Elephas maximus indicus: one gene and its partner. The protein of the gene in region 1 interacts with the protein of each later gene in a pairwise test. Links are inferred from orthologs where the notes say so. Each region holds a gene or a part of one and is shown in the gene's direction. Other genes may lie near its edges.

What was found. The genes of interacting proteins can lie anywhere in the genome.
Region 2: the proteins of SNCA (region 1) and cytochrome c interact in binary tests that used the Homo sapiens proteins (3 or more experiments, as listed by UniProt). The link is inferred for Elephas maximus indicus from reciprocal best matches to the Homo sapiens genes SNCA and CYCS.

Annotation. Positions count from the first base shown.
Region 1 is NC_064823.1:65,340,452-65,348,413, forward strand, and holds the start of SNCA (alpha-synuclein), read left to right. Parts: upstream 1-4,313; 5' UTR 4,314-4,400; intron 4,401-4,427; exon of another isoform or gene 4,428-4,744; intron 4,745-5,890; 5' UTR 5,891-5,915; coding exon 5,916-6,036; intron 6,037-7,962. UniProt on the Homo sapiens protein: Neuronal protein that plays several roles in synaptic activity such as regulation of synaptic vesicle trafficking and subsequent neurotransmitter release.
Region 2 is NC_064826.1:86,186,253-86,194,133, reverse strand, and holds cytochrome c, read left to right. Parts: upstream 1-4,209; 5' UTR 4,210-4,343; intron 4,344-5,275; 5' UTR 5,276-5,283; coding exon 5,284-5,452; intron 5,453-5,565; coding exon 5,566-5,714; 3' UTR 5,715-6,622; downstream 6,623-7,881. UniProt on the Homo sapiens protein: Electron carrier protein. The oxidized form of the cytochrome c heme group can accept an electron from the heme group of the cytochrome c1 subunit of cytochrome reductase.

The DNA of each region.
Region 1 (7,962 bases):
TGTTCCTTAAAAGTGAGAATGGAGAGACTTTATCTCATGTACTTTGGACATGTTATCAGGAGGGACCAGACCCTGGAGAAGGACATCATGTTTGGTAAAGTAGAGGAAGACCTTCAATGAGATGAGTTGACATGGTGGGTGCAACAATGGCATCAAACATAGCAATGACTGTGAGGATGTCACAGGACCAGGCTCTATTCCACTCTGTTTTACATACAGTCACTATGAATTGGACCCAACTTGATGGCACCTAGCAACAACAAGAGTAAAAAGACTTGCAGAAGAATGTTCAGAGCAACTTTATTCGTAACAGCCCTGTCTTAATTATCTAGTGCTGCCATAACAGAAATACCACAAGTGGATGGCTTTAACAAAGGGAAATTTATTTTCTCACAGTCTAGTAGATTACAAGTCCAAATTCAGGGGGTCGGCCCCAGGGGAAGGCTTTCTCTCTCTGTCAGCTCTGGAGGAAGAGTCCTTGTCCTCAAACTTCCCCTGGCCAAGGAGCTTCTCAGGCGCAGGGACCTTGGATCCAAAGGATGCGCTCTGCTCCTGGTGCTGCTCTCTTGGTGGTACGAGGTCTCCAACTGTCTGCTTGCTTCCCTTTCCTTTTATCTCTTGAGAGATAAAACGTGGTGCAGGCCACACCCTAGGGAAACTCCCTTTACCTTGGATCAGGGAGGTGACCTGAGTAAGAGTGGTGTTACAATCCCACCCTAATCTTCTCAACATAAAATTACAATCACAAAATGGAGGACAACCACACAGTACTGGAAATCATGGCCTCACCAAGTTGATATATATTTTTGGGGGAGATGCAATTCAATCCATGACAAGCCCCACTGAGGTTTCCATTAACTTCATTCAAATAATTTGATCTTTTTCTGGTTCCTATGAGTCGCTATGAGTCGGAATCGACTCGATGGCATTGGGTTTTTTTTTTTTTTCTGGTTCCTGACAGATAACCTCTAGAATCTTGGGATTTCTCCAGTTATTGAAGTATCTTTCTTATCGAAGAGAACTCCAGACCCGACAAGTTATGCTAAAGAGGTGACTCAGGTGGTACCTAGACAGGCTAGAAAGACCACCACGTGATAGCAGCCAACTTTACGGAGGTAGGGCATGAATCAATCAATCATGCATACTAACTGAGGTCCCAAAATTGATGCTGGACTTGGCAGCTCCAGTGACTGCCTAATTGGTGAAAGATGTCAATACACTTGGGAGAATAGTGAGTCCCTTTTTGGGACATGGAAGCTCCGAGTTGAGAACCCTCCCAGACCTCACCCTATGCATCTCTTTATTTGTATCTTTTTCTTGTAATACAACTGTAATACAAGTATAACGCTTTCCATGAGTTCTATGAGTTGTTCTAGCAAATTATGGAATCTGAGTTAGGAGAAACTAAGTCAGAAGCGAAGGGACTTGGGAATCCTGAGCTTATGGCTGGTATTCTGAAGGGGTAAAGGGAACCCCTGAATTTGTACATAGCAGGTCAGAAAAGATGGGGGGGCCACTGGGGACTCCCAAGCTTGCAGCTGGCATCTAAAATCTTGGGCAGACTTGGAAGTCTGGAGAACAGTGCCCTATAACTTGTGAGGTCTGACCTAAATCCAGGTGGTTAGGGTCCGAGGAGGAAATGCTGCATGTGTAGCTGGTATCAGAACAAAAGTGGAATGGAGGGGAACAGAACTGATAAAAAAATTGACCTGAGATTAATTTGATTTTTCTAAACAGCCTCAAGCTGGAAAAAACCAGAAAGTACATGAACATGGAAGAATGGATAAAAATGGTGGTGTATTCAGGCAAAAGTCCTTTGCAGAGCATGAAGTACCATATAAAGGTGTGGAATCATGTTATTTTATGAAAAGCAAAAAAACAACCACTACCCCAAAATAAATCTCCCATTGGTCTGCTGTGGGACCTAAAATAGCTGTCATTTTAGTTACCCCTTTGATTTAAGGCACCGAGTCTCAAGAACGTCCCTGTTAACTTATAAAGAAATCCTATGAAATAATACATTAAATAATTATCATAATATTTAAGGGAGCCAGCTCCAGCTGTGATAGGTCACAGTGGAAAGCATTTATTATTGGCAACAATAAAAAGAAGCAATGGAAAGCAATAAGAAACACTACTGACGCGTGCAACAACTGAGTAGGAACAAACCTCACAAATACGCTGAGTGAGAGAAGTCAGACAGGTACAAGGAAAGCTCATACTCTATGATTTTGTGTAATGAAATCCAAGCATAGGCACAAATAAGAAAGGGCACAAGGGAACATTCTGGAGTGATGGCAATGCTCTGTGTCTTCAGAATGTTGTGGGTTATACTAATACATGAATTTTTCAGAGCTGATTTAAAGAGACACTTTTCACTGTATTTAAATTATACTTAAATTTTAAAAATCACCTAAATGCTATTGTGCTTGTTTTAAAGTAGTTCTTACACCTTATGGATGTATGTGGAAGTATTTACAGATGAAAAGATGCTTGTAGTATCTGGGATTTACTTACAAATAGAGGGAGCTTTGTGACAACATGTGTAGGCGTATAAATGTGGAAGTTGTGTGGTATTCACATGAGGGTCCTTTAGTCTACTCTACTTTTGTATATGTTTGAACATTTTCCGTAATAATAAATTGAAAAGAACAGAATCTTTTGGGTTCATTTTCTCATTTACCAAAGAGTCATCGGGGAACAGAAGCAGAAAATAATTGTTTAAGGTTTAACCAGTTCCCAGGTTCAACCTTCTTTCTCTGATCCCAAGGAAACAAATTATGAGCTACTGTTTTTGGAAAGCCTGCTTTAAAAAAAAGATAAAACAATAGTGCAAGGAGGTATTTAAGCAATAAATATTTATGACCTCAGTTTCACTCTCTACTTTTTTCTACTGAATATATATATGTAGACACATAAAAAAATTTTTTTTAAATGTATATGTATGTATGTATACCCATTGGGACCGTGTAGGAAAGAGGAGAACTGCCCCTTAGGGTTTCCAAGGAGCGGCTGGTGGATTTGCACTGTCCACCTATATATATATATCCTCGAAAACATCTTTAATAAATAAAACAAATAAACAAACAAAAAGCCATACAGCAAAGACTTGTTTTTTCCTTCAAGCTGTGAAATCATTCTCCTAATCCAGGCAAAAGAAAGCAAAGGCCTTCTGCTAGAGGGAGGAGCTTGATTCTCTATTCTGGTCCGATCCAGGAACATCTGTTTCCTCCCAAGCTCTGAAAGAGGTGAAAATGTGTTAAGCGATGCAAAAAAAAAAAAAAAAAAAGACGTTTTGAAACTCGAGCACGTGCGTTCGTGTGTGTGTGTGTCTGACTGTCTGTCGGTCCGTCTGTCTGTCCAGAGGGGGCTAGGGGAGGTTCAGTGTCAACTTCGAGGGCAGAGTGAATCTGAAGTTAGAAAGATGAGTTGAGTGCTTCTGAGTCTCGGTCTTACAAGCAGCCGAAGGGAAATTGGAATCATCGTTCAGGGGGAAAAACCAGACTGGATTTGTCTCCTTCATCCAGGTGCTTGGTGGTCTGGAAAGTAAATTCCATTTAGAGAGCGAAAAACCTTAGACTGACTGCTTGTTTTCGACGGCTGGGGAATATTTATTCCACAGATGGGGAAAAAAACCGGCGTCTGGCATCCTCTGATTGGTGGAAAAGAAAATGGTGACAGTGGGGTGGGAAGAGGATTTGTCGAGCTTCCTCCTGCCTCATCAACCTGTAACTCTTCCTTACTAGTCTCCTCTCCACCTGCAGGACATTTTCGGACTCATCCGAGGTTAGGATGGAGGATATTTGAACAAAATCGACCTCTGACTTTGTATTCTGCGACCGTTTACCAAATTTAAGCGATCGGAGAGAAATGTGCTCTTGTCGGTACGTATATGAGCACCATCCTAATCTATCTGAGTCCTTCAGCAGCTCCTCGAGAGATTGCTTCTGGCTCCCAGGGGTTGGCGCTGACTAGGGGTCCTCACGAAGAACCAGAGCGAAAGGAGGAGACAAGGAAAGAGAGGCTGTGGGAAAGCAGGAGAGACATCAGCCAAAGCCTAACCGCTCACGCTCGCCACAGGACTCCCCCGTGACCCTGAACTTGAGGTGACACGCCGAACATTCCACCTTCCTGCCTCCAGGACCAGGCGGGAGACTGGAGTTGGAAAGACACCCCCTTCCGTCCCTCCACCCTCCATCCAGGAAAACGAGCGAAGCGCACGAGGCAAGGAAAGCAGAGGGCGCCTGGAGTGGGGCGGGGAGAGGCGCTGACAAATCAGCTGAGGGGGCGGTGAGCGCAGAAGAAGGAGGAAGAAGAGCAGGAGGAGCAAGACCACGACGACCTGAAGGGGGCCGGAGAGAGGGGGCGAGCGACCGTGAAAGGCGAGGCGGGACAGTGAGGTGTGTGCTGTCTTTAGAGCGGACCTCGGGACCCAGCCCCGCCTTAGCATCCTTCTCCAGCTCTCGCCGCCTTCCCTTCCGACCTTGTCTTTCTCTTGGATCCTCTTGTGCGGGGGACGGGGAGTGGTAATTTGACGACAGGTTCGCGGGTTCGCCTCCCACGTCCCCAGCCTCTCGTCGCCAGGTTGTGCTGACAGCAGCCTCCTTTGGGGGACCCTCCCTCTCCTGGAGCTGCTCCGCCCTTCCTGGGCACTTCTCTCCTCCCAGTTCTCATTTCAATAACATTTGCTTAAATTTAAAAAGAGGGGGAGGAAACAGAGTTTCGGAGGAGCAGAGGGGCTCAGGTAAGTACCTGTGGAGCTAAAGGGGCAAGGAGCTTTGGAAATCTTGGAGAAAATCTGGTGGGAGATGAGGACGCCTGGGGGTGGAGGGCGGGGGGGTTGCTGCTGCGGTCAGGACAGGCTGTGCCAAGTCTCTTGGCGGTGGTTATTTGTGCTTTTGGTGAGCTGGAGGAAAGTAAGTGGATTTGGCTTTCCACCTGATTCCCATATTCTCCTTACCCACCCCAAAGGCTGAGAGATCAGGCTGATTCTCCGGATACGCTTTTCCTTTGGGAAAGGCGAGAATGCTCAATGGACGGATGAATTTCCAACTTTTATTACTCCCTTACCTAAATCCTCCACTCCACCCTCTCTGTTTTCCCTGTAATGTAAGCAAGCTGCATTTTGCAAAAAAAAATTAAACGGAAGTGCCAGAAGAACAAGTCGACATGTGTTAAAGGGTTAACAGGTGCAGGCCCAGCCTTCACCACTGGACACGGGGTCCCCTGGCCGGTTAGGGCGGAGAACTGCCCCTCGGGTGGCGCTAATCTGGAGACCACCAGCCGGTGTGAACAGCGCCTGCACTGGATAGATAGCAGAGAGTGGGGTGGATGGTCCAGTGGATTAGGAGGGCTGGAAGCCTGCTTCTGTCCAGAGGTACAGCCACACCCGGTGTGGGGGGTGGGTAGTTCTCTTCCCGCCTCTTTCCACCAAGATCAAGCTTTCAGTCCTATTCTGGGATTCATTTCTAGGATGCCTCTGAATGCACACCTACAACTCCTTTTCTTTTCTTTTCTTGTGGTTTTCTTCTAAACATGCATCTAACTTAAACTGTCACGAGTTGGATCCTAGGAAGTTGGAAGAGGGGTCCATCCTTTCATGCTACTCCACTTGCAAAATGCAGTAGAAACAGTCCTGATGATCCATCCTAATCCATGTTAGGCAGCCAGACTTTTACTGGCAAGGTGGATGAGGGACGCTAAATTTTTAAAGCAAAATCTAAAGAAGTGTTGTTTTGTTCAGCCATCGGAATGAGGATACACTTAAAAGTTTGTGTCTCACACTTTTGGGATTTCTACTGATTTCTCAGTGGTTTTTACCTTGGGTGCTTTTAATTTTGTTTTGTTTTACCAAAAAGTTCTCATTCAAAGTGTATTTTGTGTTCTCCAGGGTGGTGTAAAGGAATTCATTAGCCATGGATGTATTCATGAAAGGACTTTCAAAGGCCAAGGAAGGAGTAGTGGCTGCTGCTGAAAAGACCAAACAGGGTGTGGCAGAAGCAGCAGGAAAGACAAAAGAGGGTGTTCTCTACGTAGGTAGGTAAACCCCGACTGTCATTTTAATATTTATCCATGACTGATGGGTTAGGATGGTTGATGCTCTAAATGCTGTTTTTTTGCTTGATTCATCTTTGCATCATCACTTGCAAAGAGAATGCACTGAGTCACAGGTATGTGTGGGTAGGGGAATGTGTGCATTTCGGCTAATAGTACAAAATGAAGATAACCTTTTGTTTTTCCTGATTATTCAATTTTATAATAATATTTAGGATTTTTTAGTTCCTTTTTTTTTTTTAAATAAGTGCCTCCCTGCATTAAAAAAAAACAAACCTGTCGCTGTTGATTCAGTACTGACTCATGGTGACCCATGTGTATAAGTGACTGTACTTCAGATGAAGTTTTTAAAATTCAGAGACTTATAAAAAATAATCAAGAATATTCTTAGGAATCAAAATCATTCATAGGTCTTTGATTTCTTTTATCATCATAATGTTTCCTAATTTTTTATGTATTCTGATTTTAAATAAGATTTAGATATTGGATCCCTGGTTGCAGAATGGTTAGGTGTTCGGCTATTAACCAAAAAAGTCGGCAGTTCAAATCTACCAGCAGCTCCTTGGAAACCCTATGCGGCAGTTCTACTCTGTCCTATAGGGTTCCTATGAGTCAGAATCGACTCAATGGCAATGGGTTTCGTTCAGTTTTGGTCTGTGATGTATAAAAAAAGACGTACTGTGGCCCTAAAATGGAAAGGACAGATTAGTCTTCGGTGGAGTTACGTATTGTAGCCATCTGGTAGGCTGAGAAAGTGGTTGAGAACTACTGCTAATATCTCTGCAACGTCTATATAATACATTTCTCAAACGGCACATACTAAATAATGAGATTGATGCTTACCACTTCTACTCGTTCCTAAATTCCCACCTTGGAATATATACAGAAGTCTTGATCTTTTTTCCTTATTTATATCTAGAACTGTGTTAGGTTGGGTGTTATTTTACAAACCACTTCAAATTCTTTGGGGAAGGCGCTGTGATATAACAGGAATAGATACACACACACACACTCCCACACTCAGCCACTCTGCTCATTCTTTTTGTTCTCTTTCTCCTTTTCTCCTTTTAACTCTTCCACATTATCTGGGAGCAGCTATAGTAGCAGTAACCATGGGGTGAGTAGTAAGGTGGAGGATAACTATACTGGATGGCATAGATGACACTGGTGCTATCCTGTGTCTGGAGGGAGAAAGAAAGCTACGCTGTTTATGCAGTGTAGATTAGCAGGAAAAAAATTATACTTGGAATGATTTTTATGAATGCCTTTCATCAAAATTTACATCAGATTATTATTTTTCATTGTTCATAAACTCCTTTTTATGTAGAGTTGATCTTACCACAAATCTTCTATTAAATTACTTTCTCTACCTTAAAAGATATTTTCAGAAAAATCATTGAAATAAAGAATGTTATAAAGCAGATAAACTTGATGAATTAATGTCAAGTTTGTTGTGAAATATGAGTTATATTTCTTTAGGTGGAATTTGGAATACTGAATTAACGACATGTGCTTTATTATATCTTTGTTATCTGTTCTAACTTTTCCAAGTTGTGTAAGTACATGCTTGTAACTGTTCTTTGACTTAAGTTACTTTATAACTTTGTAACCTTAAAGATTTTTTTAAGGTGCTAATATTAACTCCATGGAGCCCTGGTGGCACAATGGTTAAGAGCTTGGCAGCTAACCAAAAAGTCAACAGTTCAAATCCACCAGCCGCTCCTTGGAAACAGTTCAAATCCACCAGCCGCTCCTTGGGGCAATTCTACTCTGTCCTACCAGGTTGCTATGAGTTGGAATTGACCTGAAGGCAACAGGTTTATTTTGGTTTTATTAACTTCATTAATTTGTAGCTAGTGTAAAAACTATCAAATATTAGCTTAATAATTGCACTTTTCCAGATGATAA
Region 2 (7,881 bases), on another chromosome or scaffold:
GCCATCCCATTGGGCCTAAAAGAGAGCCAATTCCACAGCAGAGGAGGACTTGACTGCCACCAAAAAAGAAGAGACTGGAGCAGAGCGTGTCTTTTGGACTTGGGTCCTGCACTGAGACCCTCCTAGACCCAGGAGACAGACAGAATAAGCTCTAACACCAGAGATGGCAAGATGGCAAGAATCAGGGGCAGAGAAGCAGCAGCAGCAGAGCCATGAGACCAGCAGGAGACAATGCAGTGAGCTTCCCAGCTCCCTGAGCGAGAGAGCTGAGCTCCTTTGGGCAGGACGCTTCCTGGTGCAGTGGGGTGCCTCTTGGCACTCACCAGCAGAGCTAAAAGGACTTTGTAACACTTGCCTGAGCAGGGTAGAGGCCAGGCCAGTCCAAAAGGCCCAAGGGGTCATAAGGTCAAGGACCAGACAGAGGCCAATATGTGGGCACAGCTGAGAAAGAGGCTGTCCTGATCAAAGAACTGTATCCTGAATTGTAACCTGTTAGTACCCTAATAAACCTCATGTAACTTTTAGTATGGTCTGTAAGTTTTGTGTGGCCATTCCAATGAAATACTGAACCCAGCAAAGAAGTAGAGAGTGCTGTGGGAAGGACGGCTGGTGTCAGAATTGCTAAAAAGGCTGGAGGACCACCCCCAACCCCACCCCACCCTTGCCTCACAGGAATCAGCCTTGGGTCATTGATGCTAATGATTCTCTCCCCCTTGTGAAGTTAGTGGAGGTCAGATGCCCCCACCATGGCATTTTTACAGATATTACTGGTATTGTTTGATAATTTCCACATTCTGGGAGGATCACCTTTCTTTGGAATGGACACAAATATGGATTTCTTCCAGTTGGATGGCCTGGTAGCTGTCTTTCAAATTTCTTGACAAAGACAAATGAGCATTTCCAGCGTTGCATCTGTTTGTTGAAACTTCTCAATTGGTAGTCCATCAATTCCTGAAGCCTTGTTTTTCACCACTGCATTCAGTGCACCTTGGAATTCTTCTTTCAATACCATCAATTCTTGATCATATGCTACCTCCTGAAATGGGTGAACATTGATCCATTCTTTTTGGCACAGTGACTCTGTGTTTTCCTTCCATCTTCTTTTGATGCTTCCTGTGTTGTTCAATATTTTGCTTAGAATCCTTCAATAGTTCAACTAAAAGCTTTAATTTTCTCTTCAGTCCTTTCAGCTTGAGAAGTGCTAAGCATGTTCTTCCCTTTTGGTTTTCTAACTCCAGGTCTTTGCACATTTCATTATAATACTTTATTTTGTCTTACCAAGCCACCCACGGACTGCCAAAAGAACAAACAAATCTGTCTTGGAAGTACAAACAGAATGTTCCTTAGAAGCAAGGATGGCAATACTGTGCCTTACATGCTTAGGACATGCTGTCAAGGGGGATCAGTCCCTGGAGAAGGACATCATGCTTGGTAAAGTACAGGGTCAGCGGAAAAGAGGAAGACCCTCAACAAGGTGGACTGACACAGTGGCTGCAACAATGGGCTCGAGTATAACAACAATTGTGAGGACGGTGTAGGACCAGGCAGTGTTTCATCCTGTTGTGCATAGGGTTGCTGTGAGTCAGAACTAACTCGACGGCACCTAACAACAACTACAACAATTGAGCCATCCCTTGAAATCTTCTGTTCAGCTCTTTTACTTCATTGTTTCTTCCTTTTGCTTTAGTCACTGGATGTTCAAGTGCAACTTTCAGAGTCTCCTCTGACATCCATTTTGTTTTTTTCTGTTTTTTTTTAATGACCTTTTGCTTTCTTCATGTGTGATGTCCTTGATGTCATTTCACAACTCATCGGGTCTTCAGTTATTAGTGTTCAATGCATCAAATCTATTCTTGAAATGGTCTCTATCTTGGTCCCCTCCAAAAGCCACAGGGTCTTGAATTAAGTGTTTTGATTTCTGCTCGGATTTATAGGAAAACTGTGGCAGCAGTGTGAGAGACTACAGAGAGGGAATTGAAGTCAGGAGACAGAAAACAACAGAAATAATCCAGTCAAACAGAAGGATGAGTAGTCTGAGCAGAAATCATAAAACCAGTGGTTTGGAAGTGATCTAAGGTAATCTAGGTCAACCTTCTACTATCTACTGCTTAAGTTGGGAGTGGGAGAAAAGATCTTAGAATGTAAGCTCCACTAGAGAAGAAGTCCTCACTGATTTACTCCAGGAACCTAGACAAGTGCCTACCACATAATATGCTATTCAATAAACACTTGATGGGACGAATGTGGCAGTGCTATATAGAGTATGCAGTGCCAACAGTTTGCGCTCAACTACTAACCAAAAGGTTGGTGGTCTGAATCCAGCCAGCGACACCATGGAAGAAAGGTCTAGTGATCTACTTCTGTAAGATCACTGTTCTGTGCCATTGAGTTGATCCTATATGACAGAGTAGAACTGCCCCATAGGGTTTCCTAGGCTATAATCTTTATGGAAGCAGAATACCAGGCCTTTTCTCCTGTGGAGCCACTGGTGGGTTCGAATCACTGATATTTCAGTTAGTAGCCAAGCACTTAACCATTGCAAGACCAGGATTCACAACCATTGAAAGCCCTATGCAATTCTACTCTGAAACACATGGGGTTGTCATGAGTCAGAATTGACCCCATGGTAAAAGAGTTTTTTAAATATAGGAAAGGAGAAAATTTTATCAGAACTTCGCAGCTGAATTTGAGGAGAAAGGGAGGAGTTGAGAAGAAACTCACAAGTGACAGAACTGAGCACGTTGGGAAGGGGAGCCAGTTTTGGAGGAAAAGTATGACTGGGAGCTATGGAACTGTGGAGTTTCCAAGTGGTGTAAATGGTTACTTTGGTTGGATGCTAACTAAATGGTTGGAAGCTCGAGTCCACCCAGACACGCCTTAAAAGAAAGGCCTGGATTTTACTTTTTTAATTCGAAAAACAGCCATAGAAAACCTTATGCACAGTTGTACTCTGGATATATATGACGTCACCATGAATGGGATTCCACTGACAGCAGCAGTACTGGTGATCAAACTTGCATTTCTAATATAGCCCCAACCTCATTAGCTTACTTTAACATGACCTTTACCTAGAAAGGATGGAAATTTCCAAAAATCCTCTAAAATACAAAACCAAATCCGATGCCCTGGAGTCAATTCTGACTCATAGCGACACTTCAGGATGAAGTTTAACTGCTACTGGGTAAGAGCTACGGCTGCTAATCAAAAGACTGGCATTTGGAATACAGCAGGCGTGACTTGGCAACCATGTGGGTTAGTTCTACTCTGTCCTATGGGGTCGCTATGAGTCAGAATCAACTCCACTGCAATGGGTTATAGGGTTTTCAAGGCTGTCAATCTTTAGGAAAGCAGACTGTCACATCTTCCTCCCGCAGAGCTGCTGGTGAGGTCAAACTACCAATCTTTTGGTTGGTCAGCAGCCGAGCACTTTAACCACTGTGCCACCAGAGCTCTTCAAGAATCCTCTAATGATCTAAAATTAATGTTTCTTCCTAGATGCTGCCCGCACCCTCCACGGAACGCACACAAATTGGAGGAAAGGAAGTTGGTAGAAAAGCCTGCAGGTGAGGGTTCAGGGCTATAGTCTTGTCCCTGCCGCAATTACAGCATCCTCCCTAGTCTTGGGGCGACCATCAAAGGAAGATTTGGAAGAAGATAACTTAAAGTAATAGCGTGGAGGTGGAAAAAAACAGACACAGGATCATGTCCAAATCGTGTAACTTCTGGCTCCAGACCCGCCGTCTGAGGTGCTGCTGGCGCCAGCTGTGGAACTATGACCCAGTCTGGGTAACGGTCGCCAGCTTAAAGGATGGCAGCCAGGAGACGTCTAAGTAAGTCAAAGTTGGGGCGGCTCCCTCTGAGAAGGCAAAACACTGTCCTCAAAGCGTATTGCGTCACGTGCCGAACACCCGTTTCCTTAGCCCCAGATCCACCTCTGCGACTCAGCTCCACGAGCCGCACCAATGTACGCATACGCACAAAAGCCACGTGCGCCTTTTCAGCCCCTTCCGGCACAACCTTTACGTCGTACGTTCAATGGCCTGTCGTAAAGGCCAGGCAAGTGAGGCCTCGAGACATAGGGCACTCACGCGGCACAGCCTACCCTGCTAGCCGGCAGGCGCGCGCAAGTCCCTGAGGCAAGCCGGGTAGACTGGAGCCAATCAGGCGCGCTGACGTCACCCCGGAGCTGCTGGCCGTGCCGCACGCCGGGACGTGGGAGGGCGTAGCGGGTTTGGTTGCACCAACACCGGTTCATAGTCCCGGACAGGCGTGTCCTTGGAGTTAGAGAGCGGGACGTCCGGCTTTTGAGCGGTGACCTTCGAGTTGCGCGCGAAGAGATAGTGGTAAGCACGGGGCCCCGGAAGGCTCAGCGGGTAGGAGGCTGAGCCGTGAGGGGCACACACCTACGTGGCGGGCGCGCGGGCGGCTAGAGGTCCGCGTCCGGGACTGCCGGGTGGAGCCCGTGTGGGGCAGGCAGGACCTGGAGTGACGACCCGGGGCTGTGGTCAGGCAGAACCCAGTGGGCCAGGCTGGATGGCAGCGGAACCCCATCAAGGTAGAAACAGGGATTCGGCCAAAGCCTTGAAGGCCCGAAGGCGGCTTGAATGCGGATCCGAAGAAGACGCAGGCCGTCGCGTTTTCGGTGCCGAGGGACCTTGAAAATAGGCAAGACTTGCTCCCCGGTGAGGAGGAGTAGGGAGACAGCGGCACTTCTCGTCTTCCTTCAAAGAAAATAAAAGCTGCTTTTCCTTTCGTAAGGGATCATTTTTTCAGATCAGTAGTGGCTGCCCCCGTTAACCTGCTGAGGCATCGCAGTAAGGCGGTTTTCATCTTAGTTTCCTTGAAAGCGGCCTGTATGGGTGACCTCGTGATGGCTCCCGGGGATCCCAGAGCTGGGAGGGTGAGCATGTCCCTGGGGGGAACCTCGCAGAGCCCTCACCTGCCCCTAATTCAGAATTGTGATACTTCTGTGACCTTGACTTGCTATCTTGAAACTGGTGCTTGAAATGGGTTTCATTTTGCTTACTTGGGCTTTAATCTTAAATCCCTTACACACATACAGAAGTGTGTGTGTTTGAGTCTTTTTTTTCTAAACAGTGTTTTGATATTAAAGAGCCTGTTGGGAGTGTACTAAGTAAAACAAGATTCAACCTGGTATTTAACATCATAGAGTAGCAATGGATTCATAATTAAGTGACTGGAGTGGTCATTGGTTTCCACTGTATTTGTTTCTTGGGGGAAGAATTACTAACTTGGAGCTTTCATTCACTTTTAGAATTCAAAATGGGTGATGTCGAGAAGGGCAAGAAGATTTTTGTTCAGAAATGTTCCCAGTGCCACACAGTGGAAAAGGGAGGCAAGCACAAGACTGGGCCAAATCTGCACGGCTTGTTTGGGCGGAAGACTGGTCAAGCCCCTGGATTCTCTTACACGGATGCCAATAAGAACAAAGGTAAGAGGGGTATGGTTGTTAATAACCAAAAGTACAATTGCATGACTTTAGCTTACAGTAAACCCTTTATCAAGAATGTGAAATATTTACTCAGTGAATCTCTCCTTGCATAGGTATCACCTGGGGAGAGGACACACTGATGGAGTATTTGGAGAATCCCAAGAAGTACATCCCTGGAACAAAAATGATCTTTGCTGGCATTAAGAAGAAGGCAGAAAGGGCAGACTTGATAGCTTATCTCAAGCAAGCTACTAATGAGTAATAGTTGGCCACTGCCTTATTTATTACAATAGTAATGTCTCTTGACTTTTTTTACATGTACCGTATTTAAAGTGATCTCATACACCAGAATTCAGATCATGAATGGCTGATAGAATGTTTTTGTTGGGCATTCCTGGAGTAAATAAGATTGGCTGTGGTTAAATAAATACGATCTAACTTTTTAAATTTTGATAGTAATTTCAGTTCAGCAAGTGGTATTCCTTTTCCCTTTTAAAGATGTGTTTGCACTTGAGGCTAAATTGGATTAATAGTGGTCGATTTTTCACAAAGATGGTAAATGCCATCTCACAACCTATAAGAGATTAATTTTATATTTAGATTTATATAATTGGTGACATGGATATATTTAAATAGTGGGGAAACTTCTTCACTGTCTAATGGAACAGAGCAAGACTGTATTTCAGTTTGTAGTCATCAGCCTATTTAAACACAAGGGTTGGAGATAAGTTAGTTATGGCCACTTTATTGTTTTGCTCATAACTATGTCAGTCTAATTAAAATTCCCTGTATCTAAAGTGTTGCCTTTTAATTAAGAAAAGGCATTGCAGTGTGGTTTGTTTATGATATCAAAAAAGAATATTTAAAAAAAAAAAGTAAAGACTAACACTTCTCACATACTGTAGATGATCTAGAAGGTCAGATCCTTTTAAAAGTCAGCATGATGAGATATAGTAGCAAGTTGGATTTTAAATTCTTTACCATCTAACACTAAGTTGCAATTCAGGATTGTCTTTAAGCAGCTATTCAAAAACACATAAAACTGTTGAACCACTGTATACGTGTGATTGGTTATGGTGCTTTTATCAACTTGTTAGAAGGATTAAAGTAGAGGCAATATATTATAGGCACAAGTTTGTAAATTGGTCATCAGGTTTAATGTAATTAAAAAATAACATTATAATTTTTTGAATGTGCTTGATTTAATGACTCATGTCAAAATCATAATGGTTAAAAAGTGTAATAGCTCTGAAGACCCACAAAGCAACATCAATAATTCAGTCTTAGAGTTAGCTTGGCCAGAATAAGAACTACAGCATTTACACAAGATGTGGGTAGAAGAGTGTGCCCTGGTCAAAGTTTTGTGATAACGTAACAGTGTATAATTACGTACTAAATTATTTTACACACAGTTTTTTTTATACATATTGAGAGTAGCCCCTGGAAATTTTATAGAGAAGGTGAACTAAACTAAGCTGTAAAGAATGGTGAGAATTTCTCAGTGAGGGTAACAAATCTGTGCTGGTGGAAGAGTATTTATCTTTGTGGGATAGTAAGGAGACTGGGAAGAGAAACTGGTCAGTTATTTCAAAAATGATGGAAATTATTAGATAGGCGTTAAAGGTCTGAGTAATTTGTAACCAGTGAGCCTTATTTTCAGTCAAAGGGAAGATGAGAAGGTGAGGAGATCAGTCTGGACACAGATGGCAGAAACAATCTGGAAGGCAAAGGAGAGCCCACTGTAAGTCATATGAAATCCTAGCCGGAGTGCTAATGGTGGGGGATTAAAAATTGGATCCAGTAAATCCTTCAGAGGTAAAGCCTTTTAGCAGATCTTAATAACTGCGTAAGTTAATGGTATTCAGAGACAGGAGCAATTAGCTTTTAAAGGATAATTCTAGACCACCACCGAAAGTCTTGGCAGGCCAGAGAGTTCATTTTCATGTATCTTGGGAATAATACAGAAAATGAGCATGGTTAATGAGTACAAAAACTTGATCTTAAGAGTTACTGGGACTTTCATTTTGGTCTACAAATTTAGAAACTTAATTTTTATCACTTAACCCAGAAGTGATAAAAAAAAAAAAAGTTTTCAAGCCTTTATAAATTAGCTACCATCAAATTGACAGTACCATCTTAAGATGGCTGGCTGATTGACTCAAACCTTGCTTTAGAGCCTGGATTGATCATATATACAGAGAATATCAGTAATAAATAAGTTTAACTTTTTACAGGTTTAACGTTTTCTCATATTTACATGCCTCCTACATCAACTAAGGCTTATGTTGGCACAGGTAATTATGGAGTACCTGCTGTGTTTCAGGGCGAAAATACTGCTGGTGATTTATAACATAAGTGGTCCTGTAGTTAATTCTAGAGCAGGGCTTCAGACCAGGTTGAACCACTGCTGAGAATTTGCGTTTCTATCC